Macaca mulatta: one gene and its partner. The protein of the gene in region 1 purifies or fractionates together with the protein of each later gene. This does not show direct contact. Links are inferred from orthologs where the notes say so. Each region holds a gene or a part of one and is shown on either strand. Other genes may lie near its edges. The genes, in order: TSC22D4 and NRBP2.

Region 1 (10,005 bases):
GGCCCCCCCATGCCGGGCTCCGCCCGGAGCAGGAGGGAGGAGGAGAGACAGAGACAGACCGGGGGGAGCGAAGCTGGGCCCTGCCGCAGAGACAGCCCCGCCTCCGGGTCCGCCCCCAGACCCGCCCCCGGCCCCAAACCCACCCTTCCACACCCTCCAAGGACGGAACGGGAGCGGCCGTGCGGCGCGGGGCCGCGAGGCTGGGGCGCGGGGCGCGGGAGCCGCGGAGCCTGCGGGGACAGATTCGGAGGAAGGTCGTGGGGCGCTGGGGGCCCGGCGCCAGCCCGTCGCGGTCTTGGGGTGTCTACTCCTCGCCGCCCCTCGCCCCCTGCCCAGCCGGGCGGTGCTGGGTTCGGTCTCCCGGGCCCCGGCGGAGCGGCGTGCAGCGGCGCCCCCCAGCGGCAGCCTGGGGCCCGCGCCCCCGCCCCCGCCCCCGCCCCGTGCACCCCGTGCACCCCGTGCGCCCGGCGCGCCCCGGGTCCGCACCCAGCATCGGGCCGGGGCCGAGGCTGCGGCTGCGGGGCCCGGGGTGCAGTGAGGCGCCGAGGCCGCCAGGGGGTGCCGCTTTCCGGGCCGAGGGGCTCCGAGGGAACTGGACGGGAGGCGGCTCAGCCCAGCAGGGGGCGTGCTCAGGCGGCCGCGCCCCCTTTCCCCGCCGCCCCCCCTTTCCCCGCCACCCCCAGGTGCCAGGAGAGCACCCGAGTTGGCTCGCGGGGGAATCGGCCGCCTCCCCCTGCAGCCTCCCGGGGGTGCTCGGATCTCCTTCCATCGTCTGGGCTCAAAGCCGTCCGCCCCCGTGGTCCGAGCCCTCCTCTCATGACCTTTGACTCCCCCAGCGCCGCTCGCAACGACCAGGGTCGACCTCTGAGTGTGGCCACCACCCTGGCACTGTCAGGGGGCCGCTGCGGGACGTGACCTCGACCTCCCCGCCCATCGCTTTTCTCATCATCTCCCCTAGAAACAACTTTCTCTGAAATTCCTTGGGCGCACAGCTCTGTAGCGGGGGTAAATCAGCTCGAGAAGACCTCAGTTGTACCTTCCACGGGCTGGAAAATGGGCATGGCAAAGATAGGCATGGCCTAATCCCTGGCCTGCGAATGCTACTTCCCATGGCAGCGTCTTTGCAGACTTGCTGTGTGGCTTTAGGCAGATCGTGCAACCTCTCTGAGAGATGCTTTAGTCCAGGGATGTACACTCTTTTGACTTCTCTGGACCACATTGGAAGAATAATTTGTCTTGGGCCACACATAAAATACTCTTAACACTGGCTGGGCGCGGTGGCTCACGCCTGTAATCCCAGCACTTTGTGAGGCCGAGGCTGGTGGATCACCTGACATCAGAAGTTTGAGACCAGCCTGGCCAACGTGGCAAAACCCTGTGTCTACTAAAAATAGAAAACATAAGCTTGGCATGGTGGCGTGCGCCTGTAATCCTAGCTACTCGGGAGGCCAAGGCAGGAGAATCGCTTGACCTGGGAGGTGAAGGTTGCAGCGAGCTGAGATCAGACCACTGCACTCCAGTCTAGGGGACAGAGTGAGACTCTTGCCTCAGAAAAAAACAAAAAAACAAAAAACCCAAACTCCTAATGTTTTAAGAAAGTTTACAAATTTGTCCTGGGCCACAAGCTGCCGGTGCAGTTGGACAAGCTGGCTTTAGTCCATTCTTTGTTGGCAGAGGAGGGGTAGTAAAATAATACCAAAGTGCCTTGTAAATTGTAAAGGGTCCTACATATTAAAGGCTATTAAGAATGCTCCCAGGGGAGGGAGATACTAAAACACTTAAAACCCATTTCACATTTATACCTTTAGTATGATTAGTTTATACGTATAGGTCGGGAGCGGTGGCTCACGACTGTAATGCCAGCACTTCGGGAGGCTGAGGCGTGCAGATCACTTGAGGTCAGGAGTTCGAGACCAGCCTGGCCAACATGATGAGACCCCCCCATCTCTACTAAAAATACAAAAATTAGCTGGGCGTGGTGGCGGGTGCCTACAATCTTAGCTACTCGGGAGGCTGAGGCAGGAGGATTGCAACCTGGGAGGCGGAGGTTGCAGTGAGATGAGATCATGGCACTGCACTCCAGCTTGGGTGACAGAGCGAGACTTCATCTCAAATTAAATTAAATTAAATTAAGACATAAAAATTTGTATGTATTCACTCAACAAACATTTCTGCAGAGGTCAGCAATGTGCCAGGGCCTCTAGACTCAGATACCAGTGCCTGAGGCAGAGAAAGGGATTGCCCAAAGATAATTTTTTTTTTTTTTTTTTTTGAGACGGAGTCTCGCTCTGTCGCCCAGGATGGAGTGCAGTGGCTGGATCTCAGCTCACTGCAAGCTCCGCCTCCCGGGTTCACGCCATTCTCCTGCCTCAGCCTCCCGAGTAGCTGGGACTGCAGGCGCCCGCCACCTCGCCCGGCTAGTTTTTTGTATTTTTTTAGTAGAGACGGGGTTTCACCGTGTTAGCCAGGATGGTCTTGATCTCCTGACCTCGTGATCCGCCCGTCTCGGCCTCCCAAAGTGCTGGGATTACAGGCTTGAGCCACCAGGCCGGCCCCAAAGATAATTTTTGGATAGTTTGTAGCAAGTCAGCAAGAAGGAAGGAGGGCCTGGGGACGGAGGGACCAAGGCCATGTTCTGAGTGTTGCTAGAGGAGAAGAGGTTCTGTGAGGGACAGAGGGATGCAGTCTGGAGGGGTAGGGAGCAGGTGGGAGGCTGCTTCCCAGACATCACTACTTGGGAGGCTCACAGACCTGGGCTATGGCAGTCATTGTTACTATGGCTTAAGGGAGAGAAACAGGAGTGTGGATGTTTCTAACAAAGAGATAAAGAACAAATACATAACGAGGGTAGGTATTCCATTGTTTTATTTTTACCTAACCCTAAAGAGGGGTTAGAAATTTCCCTGAGGCCAGGCACCATGGCTCACGCCTGTAATGTCAGTTTTTTGGAAGGCCCAGGTGGGAGTATCATTTGAGGCCAGCCTGGGCAACATAGTAAGACCCTGTCTCTATGAAAACTAAAAAATTAGCCAGGTGTGGTGGAGTACACCTGTGGTCCCAGCTACTAGGGAGGCAGAAGCAGGAGGATCACTTGAGGCCAGGAGTTCAAGACGACCCTGGGCAACATTGCAAGACCCCCATCTCTACCAAAAAAAATTTTTTTTTAAAGAAATTTAGCCAGGCGTAGTAGTGTGTGTCTGTAGTCCCAGCTACTTGGTAGGCTGAGGCGGGAGGACCAACTGAAGCCAGGAGTTTGAGACCATACTGGGCAACATGGTGAGAGCTCCCATCTCTACAAAAATTTAAAAATTAGCTGGGTGTGGTGGCGTGCATCTAAAGTCCTAGCTACTTGGGAGGCTGAGGCAGGAGCATGGCTTGAGCCTAGGAGTTCCAGGCTGTGGTGAGCTATGATCACACCACTGCACTCCATCCTGGGCAATAGAAGAGAGAGAGCGAGAGAGAGAGAGCACCTGTCTCTAAAAAAAATGTGGGGGAGTGGTTGGGGCAAAGGGAAATAGTATAACATCCAGGATTTGGTTTCAAATAGTCCAGCAAAATACAGCTGGCTCCCACATGTCATTTCATTGAATGTCATTTCATTATAACGTTGATGATTTTTTAAAAATTAATTTTGGGTTGGGACCACCATCCGTGTGGAGTTTGCATGGTCTCCCCATGTCTGCATGGCACGTTTGAAAATTTTCATAATAATCCACTTTTTTTTTTTTTTTTTTTTTTTTTGGTGAGACATGGTCTCATTCTGTTGCCCAGGCTGGAGTGCAGTGGCACAATGTAGGCTCACTGCATCCTCAACCTCCTGGGCTCAAGAGATTCTCCTGCCTCACAGCCTCCTGAGTAGCTGGGACTACAGGTCTACATCACCACACTCAGCTTTTTTTTTTTTTTTTTTTTAAGACGGTCTCGCTCTAATCGCCAGGCTGGAGTGCAGTGGCACGATCTCTACTCACCGCAACCTCCGCCTCCCGGGTTCAAGTGATTCTCCTGCCCCCTGAGTAGCTGGGACTACAGGCGCATGCCACCACACCTGGCTAATTTTTATATTTTTAGTAGAGATGGGGTTTCACCATGTTGGCCAGGATGGTCTCAATCTCTTGACCTCGTGATCCGCCCGCCTCGGCCTCCCAAAGTGCTATTTTTTAATTTTTTGTAGAGATGGGGATCTCGCTATATTGCCCAGGCTGGTCACAAACTCCTGGGCTCAAGGGATCCTCCCACCTCAGCCTTTGAGTAGCTGGAATTATAGGTGCACATCACCATGCCCAGCCAATTTTTTTTGTTTGTTTTGTAGAGACGAGGTCTTGCTATTATATTGTCCAAACTGGTCTCAAGCAATCCTCCTTCCTTGACCTCCCAAAGTGTGGGGATTACAGGCATGAGCCACCACCGGGGTCCGGCAATAATCCACTTTTAAAAATAAGGAATGGGGGGAATAATAGTACCTTCCTCATGCAGTTGCTGTGAAAACCAAAGGAGAATGACAGCCACAGCCGCCCCGCAGCAGGGACTGGGCACTTCTGGGTGGGCATCCAGCACACCTCCCGGCCTGTGCCTTCCGTTTCTTCTGTGTGTCTCTAGGCCAATGGCAGCAACTGACTACAAGTAAGGGAATCCCTCGCCTCCCTGCAAGCTCCTCCCCTTTCTCCCCGAGCCCCGCCCTCTGCAGCCCCTGCCTGCAAGAGTGGGGCTGGGCCCGGCAGGTGTGGGGTTAAGAGAGTCTGTTTGGGGCCCCCAGGAGCAGCAGCCTAAGCAGTGGCTGCAGCAACTGCAACAGCAGCGGCTGTGGCAGGCCTGGCCCCGGGCCAGCTGGCGGGAAGCCCCAGGAGGGAGGGAGGGAGGAGGAAGGGGAGGAGGAGGGGAAGGAGGAGGAGGAGGAGGAGGAGAGGAGCAGTCAGCAGGCCCGAGGAGGCAGGACTTCCTGGTGTGGGGGTTGTCAACAGCTCAGAAGGAGAAAGACGGAGAGGCAGAGACCCAGGGGAGCGGAGGAGCGGAGACACGGACCCAGCGGGGCCACGCGGGAGGAGACTCGAGACACCCACTCGCTGGCTGCCACCGGGAGCAGCGGGGGGCTCGGCCGCCCTCTCCCACATCAGTCTCCAGACCCCTGGGGCTTCAGCGGCCGCTCCTGGGCTCCTCGGAGGAGCCGCGGGTTCCTTCTTTTCCGGAGAGCAAACTTTCCTCGGAGATGCCTCCCAGGATGAGCTGAGGCCCCCGGAGAGGACGGGGCAACCTCTGATCGCCGCCTGCGTGCCCCGCCACTCCCCCTGGCCAGAAGGCCCCAGGGAACGCACAGCCCGACCTCTTAGGCGCCGGGACCCTCAGGCTCAGATCAGTGGCTGAGGCCCCAGAGGTAGGATTCGGGGCTGGGTGGGGCGCTGGGGGTAGCCGGGCAGGGCCTGCCCCAGGGATGTGGGAGCTGGGGTGGGCTCGAGGCCCAGGAGAGGTCTCTCTGAGTGGCCGGGCCAGGCTGGGGAGCTGCTTCACCCCGGTTCTCCCAGGCCCTGGAGTCCAAGCTCTTGGGACAATACCCGCCCCCTGAGTCAGAATCTCAGATGAGAAATGCACAACTCTGGAACTCATCTGCCTCTTCCTACTCTGAGCGCCTTTTTGGATCTGGTCCCCTCTGCCCTGGTCTCTGTCATCTCTTGCCTGTCTCCGGGTCTCTGACGGTTTCCCCTTCCCCCACTCTGCTCCCCGGAGAGGAAGCCCCGGAGGTGGCCTGCCCACTGGTTTCACACACACACACAGACACACACACACACTCTCTCTCTCCCTCTTTTTCCAGTTTGCAAACTCAGCTCTGGAGTTCAGCAGCAACAGCAGCAGGAAAAACCTGCCCGTGCTCCCCCCTCCCGCCACCTCCCCTCTCCTCTTCTCCCCTCACCCAGCAGGCACCCCGGGTTCCCACCAGGCCCTCCTGCCATGTCGGACCCAGACGTCCCCAGGGGCCCGGATGCCCCCACCATGTGGCCCCCTTGTTCCAGGGGTGCCTGAGCCCCTTCAAGGAGTCCCAACCCACCCCCAACCTTGGCCCAGCCCTGAGCCCCAGGGACCATGAGCGGGGGCAAGAAGAAGAGTAGTTTCCAAATCACCAGCGTCACCACAGACTATGAGGGCCCGGGGAGCCCAGGGACTTCAGATCCGCCTACTCCACAGCCCCCCACCGGGCCCCTGCCCCGCCTGCCCAGTGGGGAGCCCAGCCCTGATCCGGGGGGCAAGGGCACCCCCCGGAATGGCTCCCCACCACCTGGGGCCCCCTCCTCCCGTTTCCGGGTGGTGAAGCTGCCCCACGGCCTGGGAGAGCCATATCGCCGTGGTCGCTGGACGTGTGTGGATGTTTATGAGCGAGACCTGGAGCCCCACAGCTTCGGCCGACTCCTGGAGGGAATTCGAGGGGCCTCAGGGGGCGCCGGGGGCAGATCTTTGGATTCCAGGTTGGAGCTGGCCAGCCTCGGCCTGGGCACCCCCACCCCACAGTCAGGCCTGTCTCAGGGCCCCACCTCCTGGCTCCGTCCACCCCCCACCTCTCCCGGACCTCAGGCCCGCTCCTTCACTGGGGGACTGGGCCAGCTGGTGGTGCCCGGCAAAGCCAAGGCAGAGACACCCCCACTGTCGGCCTCCCCACCCCAGCAGCGCCCCCCAGAGCCTGGGACCGGTGAGAGTGCGGGCACATCCCGGGCTGCCACGCCCCTGCCCTCTCTGAGGGTGGACGCGGAGGCTGGGGGCTCAGGGACCAGGACCCCTCCACTGTCCCGGAGGAAAGCTGTAGACATGCGGCTGCGGATGGAGTTGGGTGCTCCAGAGGAGATGGGGCAGGTAAGACCTGGGTTCTAGGGCTCGCCCATCAGCCCTGGCCTAACCTCTATCTTGGGACTCCCTCCTCCCACCCCTTCTCCTCCCCTTCCTTCTCCCCCTCCTCCTTCCCGTCCCTTCCCCTCCCCTCCCCCTCCCCCTCCTCCTCCATTACTTGTCTATCAGATCAGACAGCCCTCTTCTCTGTGCCTGCCAGGTCACTCTGAAGCCCCTTCCTCCTCCTTCATTTTCTGTCTCAGCCTCCTTCCTGTTTTTCTGCACCCTCTCTCTTTCTCCCTGGCCTCTGATTCTCTGTCTTGGTCTTCATGTAGCCTATAGCATATGTGGCCCCCTCACCAGGCCTTCTTCTGTCTTGGTCTCAGCCCCTCTGCCTCTAGGTGATGAGGGTGGAGGCCTCAGCTGGGTAGCTGGGTCCCTGGGGGAGGAGCTGCCAGGATTTGGGGAGGAAAGGTAAAAGGTAGGCTTTGCGCGCTGCTAGTCTCTGCACTGCAGCCCCATCCTGAATGTAGGGGTCTTTCTTTTCCCCCAGCCACCCATCTCAGTCCTACCTCCAGCTTTGCTGTAGGCCAAGTGTCACTGAGAAATTGGGTGGGGGGAACACCTCTCAGGGATGGGGAGGGGGCTTGCTGGTTGATCCTTTTCACCCCCCAGTTGTCTGTCTCAACTCCCTCCATCTGAGCCTCTCTGTGATTGATAACTCCAGGGTGACCACCATGGAGTGGGGGAGAAAAGCCCCAGAAGGAGTTCAGTCCCATACTCTTTCTCCTTCCTGTCTCCAAAAGAGGAACAAGTCCGGGCTGGGGGGGCAGCATGCCTGGGTCCCCGTGGTGGGGGTGAGCAGCCAGAGACAAAAGGGTGGGATACTTCTGTCCTGCGGGGAGAATATAACACCTCGGAGGGCTGGGGAAAGGCAGGGGGTGTGAGGATGCGAACTCTTTCCCCTTCCTGGCCTTGGGCACAAACCACAGTATAAAAATAACCTGGGACTGGATGTCTGGGTCCTGTCAGGACCGGTCAGGACTGGCTCCCCCCAACCCCCTCCTGGCCTCAAGCTCACGTCTCTCGTGACGCCCCTTCCTACCACTCCCCACCCCCTCCCCGCCCAACTCTTCTTGAACTCCTGCATTCAGCACCCACCCCAGGGGAGAAGATGCTGTTTCTCTTCCTGTCCTGTCCCCAGACTCTTCCAAAGCAAACCCCCTTGGCCTCCAGCTTCCCTGCTCTCTGTCCTTAAGCCTGGCCTGAGCTTCTCTTGGGGCCACAGACCCTGCCTGTCTCTCTCCAGTGCCCCCTGCTCCCCAGCTTTCCCCCACCTCCTGACGGTCTGCTGTTTGCACGTAACTGTTTTGCTATTTCCCTGCCCAAAAGTCTGTCTCCCTTCCACATCCCCTCATGCCTCTTCTCCCTCTTAACAGAAGGGAGTGGTGGAGAATGGCCAGGGGACACCACCTGGGCCCCCTTCCTCTGCTCTGTCCCTCTAACCACCCTGGACTCTCTGTTCTTGGCTTTTCTGAGAAGCTGGGGCCTCCCGGGGCCTCACAGAGGCGTCTTGTCATGTTCCTGTCGCCCCCGCCCTTTTTGCTGCCGCCCCCAGCGCCTGTTGGGCTATGCAGGTCCACGCCCAGGCTCCGCCTCCCCCCAGCTCCACAACCAGCCCCCGCCAACCCCAGGGCTGAGCGCAGGAGCAGAATTCCACCTGAGTCCGAGAAGTTTGAGAGGGGAGGCGAGAGTGAGGGGTGGGTGAGGGGATGGAGGAGCAGTTTCTGAGGATCCATTCATTCTACAAATAGCTACTGAGCAAACTGACCTTCTAGCCGGGGAGAGACACAATAAATACTTTAATTTCAGATAATGTTAGGTGCTATAAAAAAAATGAAACAGTTCAGTGGACCAGTGAATGATGGGGAAATACCTCTCTAAGAGGTGACATTGGAGTCATTTTAAGAAGGCAGCCTGGGTGCAGTGGCTCACACCTATAATCCCAGCACTTTGGGAGGCTGAGGTGGGAGGATCACTTGAGGTCAGGAGTTCAAGACCAGCCTGGCCAACATGGTGAAACCCTGTTGTCTCTACTGAAAATAGAAAAATTTGCCAGGTGTGATGGCGGGCGCCAGTAGTCCTGGCTACTCAGGAGACCGAGGCAGGAGAATCACTGTAACCCGGAAGGCAGAGGTTGCAGTGAGCCAAGATCACATCACTGCACTCCAGCATGGGTGACAGAGCGAGACTCCAGCAAAGGCACAGGCTGGGAGCGGTGGCTTATTCTCCCAGCACTTTGGGAGGCTGAGGCAGGAGGATCACTTGAGCCCAGGAGTTTGAGACCAGCAGGGACAACATACTGAGACCCTGTGTTAACAAAAAATAAAAAATTAGCCAGTTACGGTGGTGCGCGCCGTAACTGTCCAGCTACTCGGGTGGCTGAGGCTGGAGGATCACTTAAGCCTGGGAATTCGAGGCTGCAGTGAGCCATGATTGTGCTACTGCACTCCACCCTAGCTGACAGAGTGACTGTCTCAAAAAAATAAAATAAAATATAAAAGAAGGCAGACACTCTGAGTAGCCTCTGTTTAGGGTCCCGGCCCAGGGGGAGCAGGGACTTTGGAGTCTATTCTCGGTTCTTCCATCAGTCCCCCGCTCCTCCCACTTGGGAGACCCTCTGTAATGTCCCATACACCACTCCTCCCATTCCTCAGGTTTACCCATTTCTTGCTTCTAGTACCTGCCTAATGCCTTCTCCAGAGCTGGAGAAGGGAAGGGCTGCGGGGACAGGACTCCCGGGTCCTCCAAAGGGAGTAGAGAGGTGGAGAGGGAGGAAGGCTAATAGGCAAGTTATAAGGCGGCTAATTCCTTTCTCTTCTCTTTTCACGTGATGGTTCCTACCTCTCCGCCTCCAGGTGCCCCCACTCGACTCTCGCCCCAGCTCCCCGGCCCTCTACTTCGCCCACGATGCCAGCCTGGTTCACAAATCTCCAGACCCCTTCGGAGCAGTAGCAGCTCAGAAATTCAGCCTGGCCCACTCCATGTTGGCCATCAGTGGTCACCTAGACAGCGATGATGATAGGTAGGTGGGCTTCGTGGGGTGGTGGGGCGTGGGGTTCAGGTTCCCTGCCCAGCACCTGGGATGGCTGTGAGAAACTGCCCGGTAGGCATCCTTCCCTCAGGTTGAACTTGGAG
Region 2 (10,172 bases), on another chromosome or scaffold:
GTGGCCAAGAGCAGCCCTAGAGAACTTCCGATAAATCCAAATGGCCTGGCAGGATCAAGGGGTGGAGAAGCTCATAGGCAGAGCAGAAGGGAGGGTGGGCACCCACCCTGGGGCATAGCCAGATTGAGGCCAGGGAGGGCATGCTGCAGCAGCCACTGCCTCTGTGCGTGGGCGGGCAGCAGTCCGACCCACTCTGTGGAGTCGGAATAAGTGCTGGGAAGCATCCCTGCACGCGAACACGTAGCGGTTGTCACGTCACTTTTCTTACCATGCGGGTTGTGCCCGGTGCATGTGCTATTCCCCTCGGGCTGCCAGAGCAGCACCAGAGATGCAGGAGTGGCTTAAAACAGCACAAACAGATTCGCTCACTGTGCTGGAGGCTGGAAGTGCAAAATTGAGGTATCAGCAAGGCTGATTGCTTCTGGGGCTGGGGTGGGAGAATCCATCCCAGGTCTCTCTCCTCACCACTCATGGCCCTGGCAGTCCCAGGCACGCCTTGGCCTGTGGGCACATCCCTCCAATAGTGGCCTCCATGTTCACTTGACGGTCTACCTTATTTCTCTGCACCCCAAGTATCCTTCTTTCTCTGATAAGGACATTTAGGGCCCACTCCAACATCTCAAGATCCTAAACTTATTTACATTTGCAAAAATCTTTTTTATTCTTTTTTTTTTTTTTTTTTTTTTTTTTTTGAGAAGGAGTCTCACTTTGTCTCCCAGGCTGGAGTGCAGTGGCGCGATCTCGGCTCACTGCAAGCTCCGCCTCCCAGGTTCATGCCATTCTCCTGCCTCAGCCTCCCAGTAGCTGGGACTACAGGCGCCCACCACCATGCCCAGCTAATTTTTTGTATTTTTAGTAGAGACGGGGTTTCACCATGTTAGCCAGGATGGTCTCGATCTCCTGACCTCGTGATCCGCCCGCCTCGGTCTCCCAAAGTGCTGGGATTATAGGCGTGAGCCATTTTTTTTTTTTCAAATAAGGCTGTGCTCCTAGGTACTGGGGATCAGGATGTAGACTTTTGGGGGATTCTATATGACCTACCACAGAACATGTGTGTCTGGTTATGGGGGTGGAGAAAGGGGAGGAAATTCATTGAGATTCTTCTGCTCAAGCCTTACCTCTTCAGGGGCTTCTCTGGACCACACCCCCCAAAACGCACCCCTGCCCACCCAGAGATCCATTCAACAAGTGTTTGCTGAGGGCCTGCTGCGTGCCAGGTACTGTCCTCACACCAGAGAAAGAGCAGGGACAAAGAGAAGACACTCCTGCCCTGTGGGAGCTCGAATAGCAACAGGGACACAGACAGTGAAGAAGAGAGATGAGAAAAACCCAGATGCAAGTCAGGTGGGGTGAATGCCCCAGGAAAAGTCAAGTCAAGCAGGGGAAAGGGGATGGGGACTGTGATGTCAGGATTCGTGGCCAGGGCAGGCCTCTCAGGAAGTGACCTCAGAGGATGTTTGGGAAGGGCATTCCGGGCAAAGGTATAACCAGGGCAGAGACCCTGAGGGGAAGTGCCTGTCATGTCCAACGGCACAGGGCCATGTACTTGTGGTGGGCTCGGCTGAAGAGGGCAGGGGACATGAGGTAGGGTAATGGGACCAATTACTGGGCCTTCCTGTTTAGGCCCTCGTGCCAAGTGAGAAGGGACCACTGGGGGCTCCCCAAAACCACCCTCAGGTTCAATGGTTCACTGTAAGGACTCACAGAACTCAGAAAGGGTACCATTTATTACAGCAATGGATGCGTTAAAATCAGCAGTGGCAAGGACTCACGGAACAGAACCCAAGAGAGACCAGCACAGGTCTGCAGGTGTCCGCACCCACTGCAGGCATGCGGACAGTGCTCAATCTCCCAGCACGGATGAGCACAGCATGCCACCAGCCAGGGAAGCCCTCTGTACCGCGGTGTCCAGGGTTTTTATTGGGTTGGTCACACAGGTATGGCTGACCTCCCAAGTCGCAGACTTTGGCCTCCAGCCCCTGCAGAGGTCAGGCTGATGCCACATGGCCCAAAGTCCCCCCGTAGACCACGTTGTTAGCACAGACTAGGGGTGTCCAATCTTTGGACCTTCCTGGCACACATTGGAAGAATTGTCCTGGGCAACACACTTAAATAAAATACACTTAACACTAACAACAGCTGATGAGCTTTAAAAAAAAATCTCAACAAGAAAGTTTACAAATTTGTGTTGGGGCCGGGCGCGGTGGCTCAAGCCTGTAATCCCAGCACTTTGGGAGGCCGAGACGGGTGGATCACGAGGTCAGGAGATCGAGACCATCCTGGCTAACACGGTGAAACCCCATCTCTACTAAAAATATACAAAAAACTAGCCGGGCGAGGTGGCGGGCGCCTGTAGTCCCAGCTACTCAGGAGGCTGAGGCAGGAGAATGGCGTAAACCCGGGAGGTGGAGCTTGCAGTGAGCTGAGATCCGGCCACTGCACCCCAGCCTGGGCGACAGAGCAAGACTCCGTCTCAAAAAAAAAAAAAAAAAAAATTGTGTTGGGCCGAATGCACCCTCTGGGCTGCGGATTGGACAAGCTTAGCATAGACTATGGTGTGGCCTAGGTAAACACAGACATTCAAATCAGGCGGAACATTCCAAAGGCTTAGAGGGTGTCTCTCAGGAGCTGGTCAGGGCCAGTTTCAGGGTGGAGAATTTGAACACCCCAAACCTTTACTGCAGAAGGCCTCAGCAGGATCATCTGGCCTTGGTGGAAGCCACACTCAGGGGACCTGGTGACCAAGGCTGGTCAGGAAAGAGCGACCACAGGGGACGCAGCAGGGCCAGATGCAAATCTGCCAAAGAAAGAAAGAGGCGTCCCAAAGGGACAGCACACGGAGGCGCGCGGAAGGGAGGAGCGGAGTTCCAATTTGGGCTCCAGAGAGAGAAGGTAAAGGATGAGGACCCGCCCTGAGAGAGGGAGAAGGCCACGGGAAGGCTGTGGCAGCTGCGGGCTGAAGGGGGTTTTAGGTGAGAATCGGGGACAGCCCCGGTGGTCAGCGTGGCTGGAGGGTGTGCTCAGAGCGGCCTCCGGAGGGAGCGGCCTTGTGAGCCAGGTGGGCTCCCCCATCATGGTTCCACTGTCCCGAGCCAACCGCGGAAAGGAGGGGCGCGTTTGAGGAGAAAAGAGAAAATCGCCATCCTGGAAGGTGAGAAGATGGGTTTGTGGGCGGGAGGAGGCACCGGCGGGCGGGCCACGGAGAGATTTGTGGCCCCCAATGAAAGTCAGCCTGGGTCAGCCTGCTGGTGGGCCTTTCCCCCCGCCCTCGGTGTCCCACCCACCTGTCCCAAGGGGGTCGGCCGGGGAATGAGTGCGTGGCCGGGAGAGCGGGGCCCCGCTTTCGAGCCCGCGGGGACTCCTGCAGCTGGAGGGTGTCGTGGGCTTGGGGGACCCCAGATGCCCCGGGTCTTCCCCCAGATCCTAGGAGAGCAACCGCGAGAGAAGTGGGCTGCTCCAGGCTCCGGGTGGCCGCGGGGCGGGGCCTCCACGGGGGCGGGGATTTGGGGGCGGTTCCCCTGCGCGGGGCGGGACTTCGAGGAGGCGAGGCGGGGCCTGGGGCGGGGCCTCGCGAAGGACCTTGGGAATGGGCGGGGGCGGGGACCAAAACGGGGCGGGGCTTCGCGGAGGTGGGGCGGGGCTTCGCGGAGGAGGCTTGGGGGACGAGGAGGGGACAGGGCCTGGGGCGGGGCTTCGCGGGGCGGGGCCTCCGAAGGGGCGGGGCCTGGGCGCGGCCGGGGTTCGGCAGCTGGCTGGGAAGCGGTGCTCTGGCTCGGGCTGGCACACGCGGCTCGGGAGCGGCGCGCCGGCTCCGCCTCCGGCCCCCATCTGCCCGCCGCGCGCCCGCCCCTCCCAATTCCCAGAGCCGGGGCTGGGGCTTGCGGCGGCGGCGGCGGCGGCGGATCTAGGCTGGGCTGCTGGGCGCGGGGCCAGGGCGGGCCGGGAGAGGCTGCTCCGGCGGTGGATCGCGCGGAGGGCGGTGGCCTGGGCCGGCCGAACCATGGCGGCCCCTGAACCGGCGCCGAGGCTGGCCCGGGAGCGGGAGCGGGAGGACGAGAGCGAGGACGAGAGCGACATCCTGGAGGAGAGCCCGTGTGGTCGCTGGCAAAAGCGGCGGGAGGAGGTGGGCGCGGGGGTCGCGGGCACTGGGGTGACACCGCCCTCCCAGAGCCGGAGGGGCCTGGAGGCTGCGCGGGGCGTGGGGGCGCTGGGAGAGCGCGGCGCGCGGCGCCTGGAAACCTCTCCACGGTCCCTCGCGGCCAGCGAATCAGCCACCCCTGGACCCCTTTGGCCTGGCGCCCGTCCTGGGATTCCCTGAGGGCCAGTCTCCTCCTAGGACCACCTCCCCATGCCTCTGGACTCAGCCGCTAGGTTCCTGGGGATCCCCCTCGACCCCTTGAAACCTGCTCCAAATCCCCTTAGCCCAGCCCTTGGATAGGAGCCCTTGGCTCCTAGGGGCAGCTACCCTCCAAGCCCCCACCTTCCCGCAGAGTGGCTCAGGTCCTACAGTCCACGCTTGGGCCCACTGGAAAGGTATAGACAGGGACCAAATCCTCACCCGCAACCTGACACACACCAGGGCACACATAACCCCTTATTCACTCCCCAGGTAAACCAGGGGAACATGCCAGGGCTTCAAAGCACCTTCCTAGCCATGGACACGGAGGAGGGGGTAGAGGTGGTGTGGAACGAGCTCCACTTCAGAGACAGAAAGGCCTTCGCGGCGCACGAGGTGAGGCCACTGCCCCCTCCTCATCCTGCCTGGGTGACCACCTGCTGACCACCTAGAGACCACCCTCCCTCCCCAGGAGAAGATCCAGACTGTGTTTGAGCAGCTGGTGCTGGTGGACCACCCCAACATCGTGAAGTTGCACAAGTATTGGCTGGATACCTCCGAGGCCTGCGCGAGGGTGATTATGGGCGAGGCCCCGGGCAGGCAGAGGCCACAGCCAGGTGGGGTGGGCATGGGGACGAACGCGCAGCTGGTGGAAATCCTGAGCTCGCACCCTGCAGGTCATCTTCATCACAGAGTACGTGTCATCAGGCAGCCTCAAGCAATTCCTCAAAAAAACCAAGAAGAACCACAAGGCCATGAACGCCCGGGTATGGGGAGCGGGCTGGGGCAGCCACGGGGACAGGACGGGGTTGGGGCAGCCTCGGGGACTGGGATGGTGAGGGGGTGCCCAGTGGCCTCGGACAGGGACTGGGCGAGGATGCGGGGCGGGCTCCGCAGGCCCAGCCGCCTCTCCTGCGCCCACCCGACGGAGTCGTGCGTCCGCCGCCAGGCCTGGAAGCGCTGGTGCACGCAGATCCTGTCCGCGCTCAGGTGAGGGCCTGGGCTGGCCCGGGCGCTGCGCTGCTGAGCCCCCGCCTCCTCAGAGCCTCCTGACCGGCTCCTCCTACTCTCCCCTCCCCAACGTCTGCAGCTTCCTGCACGCCTGCAGCCCCCCGATCATTCACGGGAACCTGACCAGCGACACCATCTTCATTCAGCACAATGGCCTCATCAAGATCGGCTCTGGTGCTGGCGGGACAGGGCTGGGCGGGGGACGGGGCAGGGGAAGGTGCCTGCAGCCAAGGGCAGAGGAGTTCTGATGCTCCAGCAGCTAACTCCGCTCTTTCTCCCGCCCCTTGGCAGTGTGGCACCGAATCTTCTCCAATGGTAAGTGCGGACTCTGGGGGATGGGGTCCTGGAGAGGTCCCGCCCGCTCAGCCTTTGCGCCCTCCACAGCGCTGCCGCATGATCTCCGAAGCCCCATCCGCGCTGAGCGAGAGGAACTTCGGAACCTGCACTTCTTCCCCCCAGAGTACGGCGGTGAGTGGCGCTGGGTCTTGGCGCCCCGTGCCTGCCCTGTGTGCTTCTCTCCTACCCGTCCTGTGTTCTCTCCTGTTCAGAGGTGGCCGATGGGACCGCTGTGGACATCTTCTCCTTTGGGATGTGTGCGCTGGAGGTACTGCCCCCGCCCTCCACCTTGTGCTCTGCCCTCCTCCTAGCTGTGCCCTGCCTGGCTCACCTGTGTGGTCCCTTCCCCATGCCTGACCTGGCTCTGTGCCCCAGATGGCTGTGCTGGAGATCCAGGCCAACGGGGACACCCGGGTCACAGAGGAGGCCATTGCTCGTGCCAGGCACTCACTGAGTGACCCCAACATGCGGGTAAGCAGCTTGCCCTGCCCCTCCCCAGCTGGCTCACTGTGCTCAGCTAGGCCAGCAAGGTGCTCCAGGCAGGCCTGGGAGAGCATCACAGTTTATGTAGCTGAGAGGTATATCAGCTGGCTGCACCCCCGCAAAGAGGACCTCAGTGGGAGCACATACTGGTTCCAGGCCTGAAGGCCCTAATGGGTCAGCACATTCTAAGGACAAGAAGGCAAGAGAGACCCTCCCTCTGTGGCTGCTATCACCATGCCCGTTTTATAGATAAAGAAACTGAGGCTCAGAGGAGATGAGTCCTTTGCCTGAGGCTTTAGAGTAAGTGGTGGAGCCAACATCTGCACCTGGGTCTGCTTCACTCCAAGTCCTTGACTTTAAGCTTCTAGGAGGTGATGAGGCTCCAGCTTGTGGGGGGACATGGTGGGTGCCAAGCAGGCAAAAAGAGGTATGGGATGGAAGCTGCATCCATAGCCCCCTCTGCTCGGAATCCAGACTTAACTCCATGGCCTCAGGAGATGGGGGTGCCTGGATGGGGCTGGTAGGGAGGTGGAGCCGGGCTGGGCACGGATGTGGATAGAGTGGGGAACCAGCAAGGTCATCTCCAGTGCTGGGCCTGAGCTGAGCCGATCAAATGACCATGGGTAGCTAGAGGCAGAGCTTGCAGTGAGCCGAGATCGTGCCACTGCACTCCAGCCTGGGCGACAGAGTGAGATTCCGTCTCAAAAAAAAAAAAAAAAAAAAGGACCACAGCTTGCAGGTGTGACTTAAAGATCATGGCTCCTACTCCCCATGATTTTTGGGAGGTTGAGGGAAGCAGAGCATGGTGCTCCAATCCCAGAACCCAGCTGTCCTCAAGCCCAGAGGGCCAGGTCCTGGCCTGGCTGCTGCCAGGACTCCTCCCTACGGGCATCCCTGCATGTCCTGTATGTCCCTGAGGAGGAGGGACGAGGAGAACTCAGGGACCACCTCTCCTCGAACTGTGGGGCCAGAGCAGAGAGCTCTGCACACCACCAGCCTCTCCTCCCCATGCCCCAGGAGTTCATCCTTTGCTGCCTGGCCCGGGACCCTGCCCGCCGGCCCTCTGCCCACAGCCTCCTCTTCCACCGCGTGCTCTTCGAGGTGCACTCGCTGAAGCTCCTAGCAGCCCACTGCTTTATCCAGCACCAGTGTGAGCAGCAGGCCAGCCCAGGGGGTGACCGGGGAGGCTGCGGCTGGGATGTGGAAGGGGCCCTGCAGGACCCACGGCCTTGATGCTCCTGTGGCTGCAGACCTCATGCCTGAGAACGTAGTGGAGGAGAAGACCAAGGCGGTGGACCTGCACGCAGTCTTGGCGGAGCTTCCCCGGCCCCGCAGGCCCCCGCTGCAGTGGCGGTGAGCAGTCAGCACCCAGAAACCTCCCCTCCCCGTGCCTCCCCTCCCTACGCCCCTGACCAGCCCCTCATGTGCCTCCCACCCCCATGCCAGGTACTCGGAAGTCTCCTTCATGGAGCTGGACAAATTCCTGGAGGATGTCAGGTAAGAACTGATGTAAGGTTGGGGGCCAGGCAGCTGTCAGGCCTGAGCCCCCAGCCACCCCGGTGTGTCTCCAGGAATGGGATCTACCCACTGATGAACTTTGCAGCCACTCGGCCCCTGGGGCTGCCCCGGGTGCTAGCCCCACCCCTGGAGGAGGTCCAAAAGGCCAAGACCCCGACGCCAGAGCCCTTTGACTCTGAGACTAGGAAGGTGAGTCCCCTCTTGCTGCTCAGTGCCATCCCTCAGACCTTCCAGCAGCCTGATAAGAGATTCCTTCTCCCAGGGCCTGCTCCCCACAGCCCAGCTCTCCTCCTGGCTGCCAGAGACCAGATCCAGGCTGACCCCCTTGTGGGGATTATGGGGGTTGTAGGACAGGCTGGACACTCTCCTTTTCCGGGAGGCTCCCTGTCCCCTCAGATCCTCCCCTGCATCCTGCTGCCTGCCCTGAACCTACTCCAAGCATCCTTCCTCCAGAACTCGCCCAGGCTCTTCCACCCCGCCAGTACTCTTCCCCCCACCCCCCACCCTCCCATCCCCCACCCTCCCATCCCCCACCTCGTGCTGATTCCCGGATATCTATGTCCTGGTGTCTCCCCAGACTTTTCCTGCAGCGCTGCCTCCTGGCCAGTGGCCTCTCTTGGTGCAGTGCAGCCAGAATTTATGTCCTAACAGGCAAACTGCCTGCTCCTGGCTGCCCGCAGAGATCATGGGAGTCCTCAGCTGATGCCCAGGCGCTGGGAGGCCTGGTCCTGCAGGCACCCTGCACTTCGGTGCAGTCGCATCCCACTCAACCTCCCTTTCCCCGTGCTCAAGATCCCTCTTTGTTTAAGTTGTTCTCTCAGCAGTGAAAGCTCCTATTCAGCCTTCAGTACCCAGCACCTAATGTCGACTCTTCTCGAAGCTTTCCTTAGCTCACTAGGCCACTAGCAGTGAGATGGGCTCCTCTTAGAGATTCCCCCCTTTCCAATCTCTGCTGTCCCTTCCTGGCCCCTCTGGGGCCGCGGCATGTGGTCTCGCTGCTGGGTCTGTGAGTCTCAGCCTTCCGCCGCTGCAGGTCATCCAGATGCAGTGCAACCTGGAGAGAAGCGAGGACAAGGCGCGCTGGCATGTGAGCGGGGCCTGGGAGGGCAGCGCTGCTGTGGGGAAGGCGGGAGCGTGGCAGACCCCCAAACCTCCAGCCGACCACGCCCCGCCGCCTCCCCAGCTCACTTTGCTTCTGGTGCTGGAGGACCGGCTGCACCGGCAGCTGACCTACGACCTGCTCCCAAGTAGGCTGGGCAAGGGACCTGGGCGGTGGGCGGTGACCCCGGGCAGCGGGTGGCGCAGCGGCCTCATGCCTCGCCTTACACCGTTGCCGCAGCGGACAGCCCTCAGGACCTCGCCTCGGAGCTTGTGCACTACGGCTTCCTCCATGAGGTGCGCTGGGCGTTGCAGCGTGGCCTGGCGGAGGGGGCAAGCGGGGCAGGCTGTGCCCCTCCGTCCCCCATGCCTTCCTCCTTCCGCAGGACGACCGGATGAAGCTGGCCGCCTTCCTGGAGAGCACCTTCCTGAAGTACCGTGGGGCCCAGGCCTGACCCAGTACCCCAGCCCCTGGGGACCATGCCGGGGTGCTGCCCAGGCAGGCCATGTGGGGGAGACCCCAGCACCGTGGGGCTGCTCTCCTCCGTGTGCCTGGGAGCACAAAGGCCCTGGTAGTGAAGAAACCCCCGCCTCCTGAGAGTGGGGCAGACCCTGCCTCGGGCGCCGCGGGGGTGGGGGGTGGGTGTGGGGGAGCCGTTAGGCCTCCCAGGTCCTTAGGTTCAGGGTTGCCCTCAGGACCCCTTCCCATATCCTCCATTCTCCACCCTGAGTTCCTACCCAGGCTGCCTGGCCAGGGCCACTGCCTGCTCAGCATGCAGGAGGCTGCCCTGCAGGGAGCCCCAGCTCTGGGGCTTGGGGGTGAGGGTCAGCCCTGGACAGACCTCTGCCCAGGGAACTGCTCCATGGGGTCTGGGAGAGCAGCCATCCCCGGCTGGCACCATAGACCCACACAAGGAGCCTGCACAGCAAGCCAGCAGTGACACACCTGCAGGTGTCACGCATGGCACTGGGCACAACAGGGACCTGGCAGGAGAAACAGACCACAGAGAGGTCTGGAGTTGAGGCTGTCATCAGCAAAGCCCCTGGTCCCACACAGCTCTGCCCTGGAGCCACCTCTTTGACCCTTTACCCACCCCGAGACCAGAACCTGCAGCCCCTCTACAGATCTCCTCTGGCCACTGCAGTCCCTCTACAGATCTCCTCTGGCCACTGCAGCCCCTCTACAGATCTCCTCTGGCCACTGCAGCCCCTCTACAGATCTCCTCTGGCCACTGCAGCCCCCCTACAGATCTCCTCTCACTGCAGCCCCTCTACAGATCTCCTCTGGCCACTGCAGCCCCCCTACAGATCTCCTCTGGCCACTGCAGCCCCTCTACAGATCTCCTCTGGCCACTGCAGCCCCTCCAACGGGCTTTTTCTCTCCTGCATT

The links.
Region 2: the proteins of TSC22D4 (region 1) and NRBP2 purify together in Homo sapiens (affinity purification with mass spectrometry; 3 studies listed by BioGRID and IntAct, counting the BioPlex papers as one, with this or other methods). This does not show direct contact. The link is inferred for Macaca mulatta from reciprocal best matches to the Homo sapiens genes TSC22D4 and NRBP2.

Annotation. Positions count from the first base shown.
Region 1 is NC_133408.1:47,675,179-47,685,183, reverse strand, and holds the start of TSC22D4 (TSC22 domain family protein 4), read left to right. Parts: upstream 1-4,947; 5' UTR 4,948-5,368; intron 5,369-5,803; exon of another isoform or gene 5,804-5,906; 5' UTR 5,907-6,072; coding exon 6,073-6,834; intron 6,835-9,725; coding exon 9,726-9,892; intron 9,893-10,005.
Region 2 is NC_133413.1:154,207,478-154,217,649, reverse strand, and holds the start of NRBP2 (nuclear receptor-binding protein 2), read left to right. Parts: upstream 1-3,746; 5' UTR 3,747-4,000; coding exon 4,001-4,123; intron 4,124-4,609; coding exon 4,610-4,732; intron 4,733-4,808; coding exon 4,809-4,910; intron 4,911-5,013; coding exon 5,014-5,103; intron 5,104-5,285; coding exon 5,286-5,326; intron 5,327-5,426; coding exon 5,427-5,521; intron 5,522-5,638; coding exon 5,639-5,815; intron 5,816-5,895; coding exon 5,896-5,951; intron 5,952-6,058; coding exon 6,059-6,154; intron 6,155-7,183; coding exon 7,184-7,316; intron 7,317-7,416; coding exon 7,417-7,519; intron 7,520-7,612; coding exon 7,613-7,663; intron 7,664-7,737; coding exon 7,738-7,873; intron 7,874-8,717; coding exon 8,718-8,931; intron 8,932-9,023; coding exon 9,024-9,181; coding exon of another isoform or gene 9,182-9,237; 3' UTR 9,238-10,172. UniProt on the Homo sapiens protein: May regulate apoptosis of neural progenitor cells during their differentiation.